Linked DNA regions of Rattus norvegicus. The protein of the gene in region 1 purifies or fractionates together with the protein of each later gene. This does not show direct contact. Links are inferred from orthologs where the notes say so. Each region holds a gene or a part of one and is shown in the gene's direction. Other genes may lie near its edges.

What was found. Proteins that work in one complex are often made in the same cells at the same time.
Region 2: the proteins of Alk (region 1) and Shc1 purify together in Homo sapiens (affinity purification with mass spectrometry; 3 studies listed by BioGRID and IntAct, with this or other methods). This does not show direct contact. The link is inferred for Rattus norvegicus from reciprocal best matches to the Homo sapiens genes ALK and SHC1.

What each region holds. Positions count from the first base shown.
Region 1 is NC_086024.1:29,320,379-29,324,069, forward strand, and holds part of Alk (ALK tyrosine kinase receptor precursor), read left to right. Parts: intron 1-1,099; coding exon 1,100-1,190; intron 1,191-1,289; coding exon 1,290-1,354; intron 1,355-2,994; coding exon 2,995-3,124; intron 3,125-3,691. UniProt on the Homo sapiens protein: Neuronal receptor tyrosine kinase that is essentially and transiently expressed in specific regions of the central and peripheral nervous systems and plays an important role in the genesis and differentiation of the nervous system.
Region 2 is NC_086020.1:177,137,290-177,141,431, forward strand, and holds the start of Shc1 (SHC-transforming protein 1), read left to right. Parts: upstream 1-1,258; 5' UTR 1,259-1,466; coding exon 1,467-1,961; intron 1,962-2,520; coding exon 2,521-2,591; intron 2,592-3,075; coding exon 3,076-3,139; intron 3,140-3,268; coding exon 3,269-3,388; intron 3,389-3,764; coding exon 3,765-3,818; intron 3,819-4,103; coding exon 4,104-4,142. UniProt on the Homo sapiens protein: Signaling adapter that couples activated growth factor receptors to signaling pathways. Participates in a signaling cascade initiated by activated KIT and KITLG/SCF.

The sequences.
Region 1 (3,691 bases):
CACAATGCCACAGGATGGGTAGTTATGAAGAAAAGAGGTTCGATTTGTCTCAGAGTTAGGAACCCGAGGTCTGTGACTGTATCTGGTGATGACCTTCTTGCTTGCAAAGACAGAGTGGGCACCCTAAGCTACCAGGACCCGCCCATGGGATGCTCCACCTTAACAACCTTGCCTCATCTGAATCACTTCCTCTCCTCATAGTCAGGATTGCTTTTCTGCGTGTGAACCTCAAACCTTAGCAGACCTGTTCTCACCAGAGCAGATAAAGAAATGGAGGCCCAATAACAGTGCGAACATTAGTTTCTCCAACATTCTCGGTGGCTATACGAACACACTTGAGGGCAGGCCCCATGCCCAGCAGTAGGTGGCTAACACAAAGTGAACTCGATGGTATTTTTTAGAGGTTTTCTAACTCATAATGCTTTACCTGGGCTACTGCTGCTGCTGCTGTTGCTTCCTCCTCCTCCTCTTCCTCCTCCTCTTCCTCCTCCTCTTCCTCCTCCTCTTCCTCTTCCTCCTCCTCCTCTTTTTCTTTCTCCTCTTCCTCCTCCTCTTCTTGTTACCTTACAGGTCTTTTACTTGTGCATTATGGTTTTTAGTTTTGTGTTTTTAGATTTGTGTGTATGAATGTGTGTGTCTCTGAGTTTCTTCAGGTTTTTTGTTTTTGTTTTGTTTTCTGTTTGTTTTGACCTATTCTGACTGGTTTGTTTGGATTTTGTATTGTTGTTGTTGTTGTTGTTGTTGTTGTTACGTTAGATTCCTGTTTTGCTTTTTTTATGAGAGAAATAAAGGGGGTGGCTTTAGGTGGGTGGGTGATCTGGGAGGAGTTAGGGAAGGGGAAACCATAATATGAATAAATTGTATGAAAATATACTCACTTTCAGTTTAAAAAATAAAATAAGGTAATTTAAATAAGAAAGGAAAGAAAGAAGAGAAGAGAAATGGAGGCCAGGGTGACATAGTGAAGCCAAGCTGAAGGTGTAACTCCCGAGTGGTCACCCTTCCTCTTGTGTGTGTACACTGAATGTGACACTGATCTCCAGGTCCCCAGCTGCCTGTGGCTCACTTAACTGTGACTTGTCTTGTCTTCTTGGTACAGGGGCCTAGGCCATGGCGCATTTGGGGAGGTGTATGAAGGCCAGGTATCTGGAATGCCCAATGACCCAAGCCCTCTACAAGTGGCTGTAAAGGTGAGGGGTGGCTCCACCTTCCGCCTAGCCTTAGCCTGAGGTCCCTGTGGGCTACAGCCACAGCTCACAGCCACCTTCTCCTCCCACCCTACCTTCCAGACGCTGCCGGAAGTGTGTTCAGAGCAAGATGAGCTGGACTTCCTCATGGAAGCTCTGATCATCAGGTAAAGGCACAGAGGCCCAGCCTCTCCCCCGACCCCTCAAGGCATAGAAAGATCTTTCTAATGGATGGGGATCTTTAGAGGAAACTGGATATATGTTGGTCCCAACATCCCCCTACCCACACAACCACGGGAAGGACCCCTGAAGTGGAGCAACCGCCCATGATTATCTCAGGAAGGATCTGAGTGGCCTAATTACTGATAGCACCATGCCTCCCCAGCTTCCTAGTGCCAGCCATTGGCTCCCATTCCTCACTTAAGGAAGCATTCTTGCATTAGATGGTATCTCCCACCCCATCCCCCCCCAAGTGACTCTTCCAGAGCTGAGGTCCTTGGACATAGAGTAAGGAAACCAATGAAAGATAGCCGACCACCATACCCCACATCGACAATGACAAGGGCTGCACCCTAACAGATAAGGCAGGCCTGCATTGAAACCAGGAACTTCCTGGGGGTAGCAATTCAGGTCTCTTGAAGGAGGAGGCAGACAGTTGTCCTTGTGACCTGAAGGAGGCTCACAGATGTCTCTGGCGCTATGATGCCTCCAAACATCCTGACCCGGGGAGGTGGCCTGGAGTGGTCCAGGTTGAAGCAGCAAGAATACAGCCAAAAGCTGTCTGAGTGATACATTTATAGGCTCTGGAACGTGTGGAAGACACACTGCCAGGATAGCACTTTGCTTTAAAAAATAATATTTATTTTCTAGTTATATATGTCATATAAGAGTAATAAATAAAACCTAAAACGTATAAGATTACATAGAAGGAGAGCTTAATCATGTAGTATTCCTACTAGGTAGTAATAAATGGATATATTTCAGCATATAATCACCAGTCTTTCAACTCAGAGTGTGTGTGTGTGTGTGTGTGTGTGTGTGTGTGTGTGTGTGTGTGTCCATCTGGGGTTTCCTAGCCCCACTGTTCTGCATATCCTAAAATGACAAGATAAACCAAATCTCAGGACCTTGGGTCCTAATCAGTCCCTGCCCATGTGGAGTCTTCAGAAGACTATGGAGATCAGTGGGCCATCTCTCCCCCTGACACTCTGTCACAGACTGTCACCACACAGGTCACACGATCTCCCTTTCAGAAGCCACTCCTCCAACTTCTGCCTGAGACCTTCCTTAGAGAATTCAGGTATAAATTCATGTAGCAGTGCTCACACAGGCAAACTCTAAAAACATCTGTACACATGCAAACACTCGCATACACACACACATGCACAAACACATACATACATATAAATATGTGTACACATGCATACACACAAACACATACAAACACATGCACACATATAAACATACACCAAACACATGCAAATATACACACATGTGCACACACGGGGCATGCACACACTCACACATGCAAAGTACACATACATGTACTTTGTCACCTCAAAGTCCTCTGACTCCAACAGAATCCTTCCCTGTTAATTCAGCTCCTGCCAAGCCTGCTCAATGTATGCATCTCTCCAGGGAGGTTTACTTCAAGTTCAACCAGAGACCCCTATTTATAGAATATTTACCCATATTTATAGAATATAGCGTCATGGCATGGTTGCTGAAACCATGACTCTCTGCCCTGCTTTTCTTGATGGTCCCAGACCTGGCTTCGTTAAATTCGATTATGCCCTCTGCCCTGTAGTAAATTCAACCACCAGAACATTGTCCGCTGCATCGGGGTGAGTCTGCAAGCCCTGCCCCGCTTCATCCTGCTGGAGCTCATGGCTGGTGGAGACCTCAAGTCCTTCCTCAGGGAGACACGTCCTCGCCCGGTGAGTGACAGCGTCTTCTCTCATGGCTCCCAGGGCTCATGTCCGGGGGAGTGGGTTACAAGGGAAGTACTTGCTTGATGGGCTCCTAGGAGTCAGCCCTGGGGTTTCGTCATGAAGAGAATGGTCAGAATCGAATGGACAGAGAGTGGATGGTGGACGAGAACCTAAGGAGACTGTACAAGCCCTACACGATAGATTCAATAACCTGACTCATGACCTGATGACTCTGGACCAGCAAACTCGGAGAGGGACTTGCATGCTAACTGTGTCACTCACTGGCTCTCCATCCGAGGATTCCGAACCCACTGATCTCTTCTCAAAAACAAATATAATAGGCAGCACCCTGACTGTGTAGTTTTCAGTATAATAATAACAATAATAATAATAACAACAATAATAATAATGACAATGACAACATCATGTTGGAATACCTAGGAGGTAGTATGTATGCCTGTGGTGTCCTGTATGAGGGACAGAACTTGTGAAAAACTCTAAGGTACATCCATGAAGCCCAGCCTTTAACCCCTGCATGGCCATCAGGCATCATACAACACGGGGCAGCCTCAC
Region 2 (4,142 bases), on another chromosome or scaffold:
CCTGAGCTACAAAGCAAGTTCTAGGGCAGTCAATGTAGTTACACAAACGAACCCTGTCTTGAAAAACCAGACAAACAAAAAAGTACCTTTTACTTCTTGTGTTTGGTTACTTTTTAAAAAGTGAATAAAGCTATAGTTTAATCCGGAGCTATTTTGATTGGTCACTTTCTTTAACTTCCTGAATGGCCTTCAGCAGAGCTGTGGCAGGAAACTGTGGGCAAAGAAATAGGGGTTTGGTATTATTATGCACTTATGGCCAGATTCCAGCTTCTGATATCCCTTTCTCCTTCCTGTCTTTATTAACACAGATTTGTTTATGGCCCTATTATCCCTTTGTGGCTTGTAGGCACCAGTTCTGTGTGTTTCTTTCTCCTACCTCCAAGGCCAACTCCTCTACTAGTGTGAAGTACACTGTCTGGTGGGGTGTGTAGCCTATAAGGCGTAAAAGTATATCTGTAGGTCTAAGGGGTGGCCAGATCTCTATATCCTCTGGGGGCTTTCCTCACTAGGCCTCTGGAAGAGCACCCCCACCCCCAAGTCTGTTGGTCCTTGGTGACTTGTAGAAACAGCCTTGCTCTAGCTCTTGTCTGGTAGCTCCCAGATGCACCACCCGAATTAGCCTTTATTCCTATTTCAGCTTTGTCTTTCCTCTGGGCCTCGCAGTACATCCACTGGGACTACTTCCCTTCCTGGTTCTCAACTCTGGTCCTCAGCTGTTGGGGTGGATGCTAATGGCCCAGGTTCCCTGGAGCTACCACCTCACTCACTGTATGGTGGGGGTGGGGGTGGTCTGGGCTAGGGGGTGAGGGATTCACGTCTTCAGCCGGGTCTGGAAAGGAAATGCTAAACTCTGAGGGACAACTTCCCTCCCCCCACTCCCCGCCCAGCAGCTTCTGTTTCCTTCCTATCCCTCCCAGTCTTCCCGGTCTTCCTGCTCTCTTTGGCTTGCCCAGGTCTGTTTGGATTGGTCCAGAGTTTTCCTTAACTCCTTCCTTTCTTTTTTCTCTTTTGCTTATTCTTCCTTTCTTTCTTGCCCGGCACCTCCTCCTTCCCAGACAGATCACTAGTTGTTTGTATTGGGCTGGGGAGAGTGGCCTGGCTAACACAAATTATGTGGGGAGGTGTCTCAACCCCTCTGAGCCTGTGAGTCAGCACTGTCCTGGGGATTGGTTTCTCTCCTTAGTTCCCCGCCCCTGGGGAGGAGCCAGTCAGCTCTGGGTCCAGCCTGTACTCCTCAGCCAGACGAGGTTTCCTAGCTGGGCTGGGCCAGGATGTGGTTTGAAACTGTCTAGGTCTGAGTTGGGAGAGCAGAGGTCACTTGTCCTTCGCCTCCCCAGGTCCTCTGTTATCACCCGGCTGCCGAGGTCAGACTAGGCTAAGGGTCTGGGGATGCCCCCTGCCTGGCCCCCTTGCCTGAATTGGCAGGGGGGCCGGGCCGGGCAGCAGCCCCCCTTCTCACCCCAGCCATGGATCTTCTACCCCCCAAGCCGAAGTACAACCCACTTCGGAATGAGTCTCTGTCATCGCTGGAGGAGGGGGCTTCAGGGTCTACTCCACCGGAGGAGCTGCCTTCCCCATCAGCCTCATCCCTGGGACCCATTCTGCCTCCTCTGCCGGGGGACGATAGCCCGACTACCCTGTGTTCCTTCTTTCCCCGGATGAGCAACTTGAAGCTGGCCAATCCTGCTGGGGGGCGCCTGGGACCTAAAGGGGAGCCAGGAAAAGCTGCAGAAGATGGGGAAGGGAGTGCAGGAGCAGCCCTTCGGGACTCAGGCCTCTTGCCCCTCCTCCAGGACATGAACAAGCTGAGTGGAGGCGGCGGGCGCAGGACTCGGGTAGAAGGGGGCCAGCTGGGGGGCGAGGAGTGGACCAGACACGGGAGCTTTGTCAATAAGCCCACACGAGGCTGGCTGCATCCCAACGACAAAGTCATGGGACCTGGGGTTTCCTACTTGGTTCGGGTGAGTGCATATCCCCTTTTCTACTCTCCCCATACCCCTTCCAGTTCCTCCAGATTTGTCGGGACTTCCTGCTCTTCCCCCTGGAACATCTGTGCCATTCTCTTAGTTCTTAAACCTGGTGCATTCCTTCTCCAGTTCTCTGCCCTTAATTTAGCCTGCGAATCTTCTGCCTTTCCTCCTTTGGTCCCCACTCCCCAGTTTACACAATGCTCAAGCACATCAGAGGCTTTTGGTAAAAGTTGAATGAAAATGACTTCTTGATTCTTCCCTTTAGACTCCTCCTTTTTCCAGAGATGTCACTCCATCCTACCCAATACCTGCTACTCCTCTCATAATGTCTCTGTGGTGCATGAAGTTCCTCTTTGCGGTCTTTCTTTCCTCTTTCCCCTTTCCCCTTCACAGTACACCTATGGGGTGGTAGCCCCAGGCAGTAGGAAAGCTACTTCACCTTTACTTTCCTTAGGGATAAGGCAAAGCCCTAGAACCTTCTGCAAAGGGCTGGCAAGTGTGGGGTGGGGGATGGGGACAGCTGATCCATTCTTCCCTCCTTCCCCTACAGTACATGGGTTGCGTGGAGGTCTTACAGTCAATGCGAGCCCTTGACTTCAATACCCGGACTCAGGTCACCAGGTTAGTGGGGATTGAAGTTACAGAAATCTCAGCCAGGGAGAGGAGGAAGTTGGGCATTTGGTGGTGGTGCTGATGGCGATTTCTCGTGGGTGGTCAGAGAACTGAAAGTTACAGAAGTAGTTCTGACTGGAAGGAGCCAGCTCTGGTGTGGAGCACCACCTCACCTAACTATCCAGCCTTGGAGACTGTGGGAAGATGGACTAGAAAAGGCAGCAGGGGTAGGAGGTTGCTGATGCTTTAGGGAAGGAGATGGAACATTCGGGAGCTGGGAAGAGGTGGAGCTGCAGCCATTGAGGCCCTAACCCAATCAGCCAGGAAGCGGCCCCTCAGTGTCATCAAATATTAAAGGCCCTTAATTCAATCCACCACGACAAAGAGCCTGGAGTGCTCTGGGAATCTGGCCTGGTCTTCCCTTCCCCCAGCTCTGTGGCAGCCCTAGCCAGGGGGAGGCCCATGGTGGGTCTGAGTACTCCTGTTTCTCCAGGGAGGCTATCAGTTTGGTGTGTGAAGCTGTGCCTGGTGCCAAAGGGGCGATGAGGAGGAGAAAGGTATGTGTGGTTGGTGTTGGGGCTGGGTGATTGGAGGCAGGGGAAGGCATGTGCAGGGCGTGTCGGGAGAAGGTGAGTATTTCCTTATGCTGGGAAAACTCAGATTCTGAGACTCTGGGCCCTTCCTAGCCCTGCAGCCGCCCACTCAGCTCTATCCTGGGAAGGAGTAACCTGAAGTTTGCTGGAATGCCGATCACTCTCACTGTGTCTACCAGCAGCCTTAACCTCATGGCAGCAGACTGCAAACAGGTGGGTAGGCTGCTCGAAGGAACCAGGGATAGTTAGTTATGGGAGCATCAAGTGGGGATTGGAGGCCAAAAACTTGCAGTCTTCAGGAAGAACTGGAGAGTAGAAGAGGAAGAAGTTAGGAAGGTTGAGTATAGTGATACCTTTTATCCTAGCACCCAGGAGGCCAAGGCAGAGGAATCTGAGTTCTAGTCAGGGCTACATAGTGAGACCTTGTGCCTCACCCCACCAAAAGAAGAAAGAAATTAGGAGAATGCAGGGTAAAAGGCCAAGAGAATGATCCCGGGGCTCCAAGGTTCTATGCTGGGGTGGGTTCACGTGGAGCCCTGAGGCTGCCTGACCTTTACCATTCCTTCCTTCTCCACCCTGCCCTCATCAGATCATTGCCAACCATCACATGCAATCTATCTCATTCGCGTCTGGTGGGGATCCGGTGAGTTGGGGAACAGAGAAAAGACGGGTGGGGAAGAAGAAACTAGGGGCTGAAATGATGCTGGCTAGAGGCTGGGAGTGGTGGCCACACAAGAATCCCAGCACTCAAGAGGCAGGATAGCCAGGGCCATGCAGAGTAATCCTTCTTGAAAAACCAAAAGAGGGAGGGAGAAAATACTGGCTAAAGAAGTGGTGCACAAGGATTGTGAAATATGTAAAAAGGACAGAGTTAGTGGGTCAGGAGGTAAACTCTAGCTAACTGGCCTCCTGGATCTGCCCTCCCCAGGACACAGCTGAGTACGTTGCCTATGTTGCCAAAGACCCT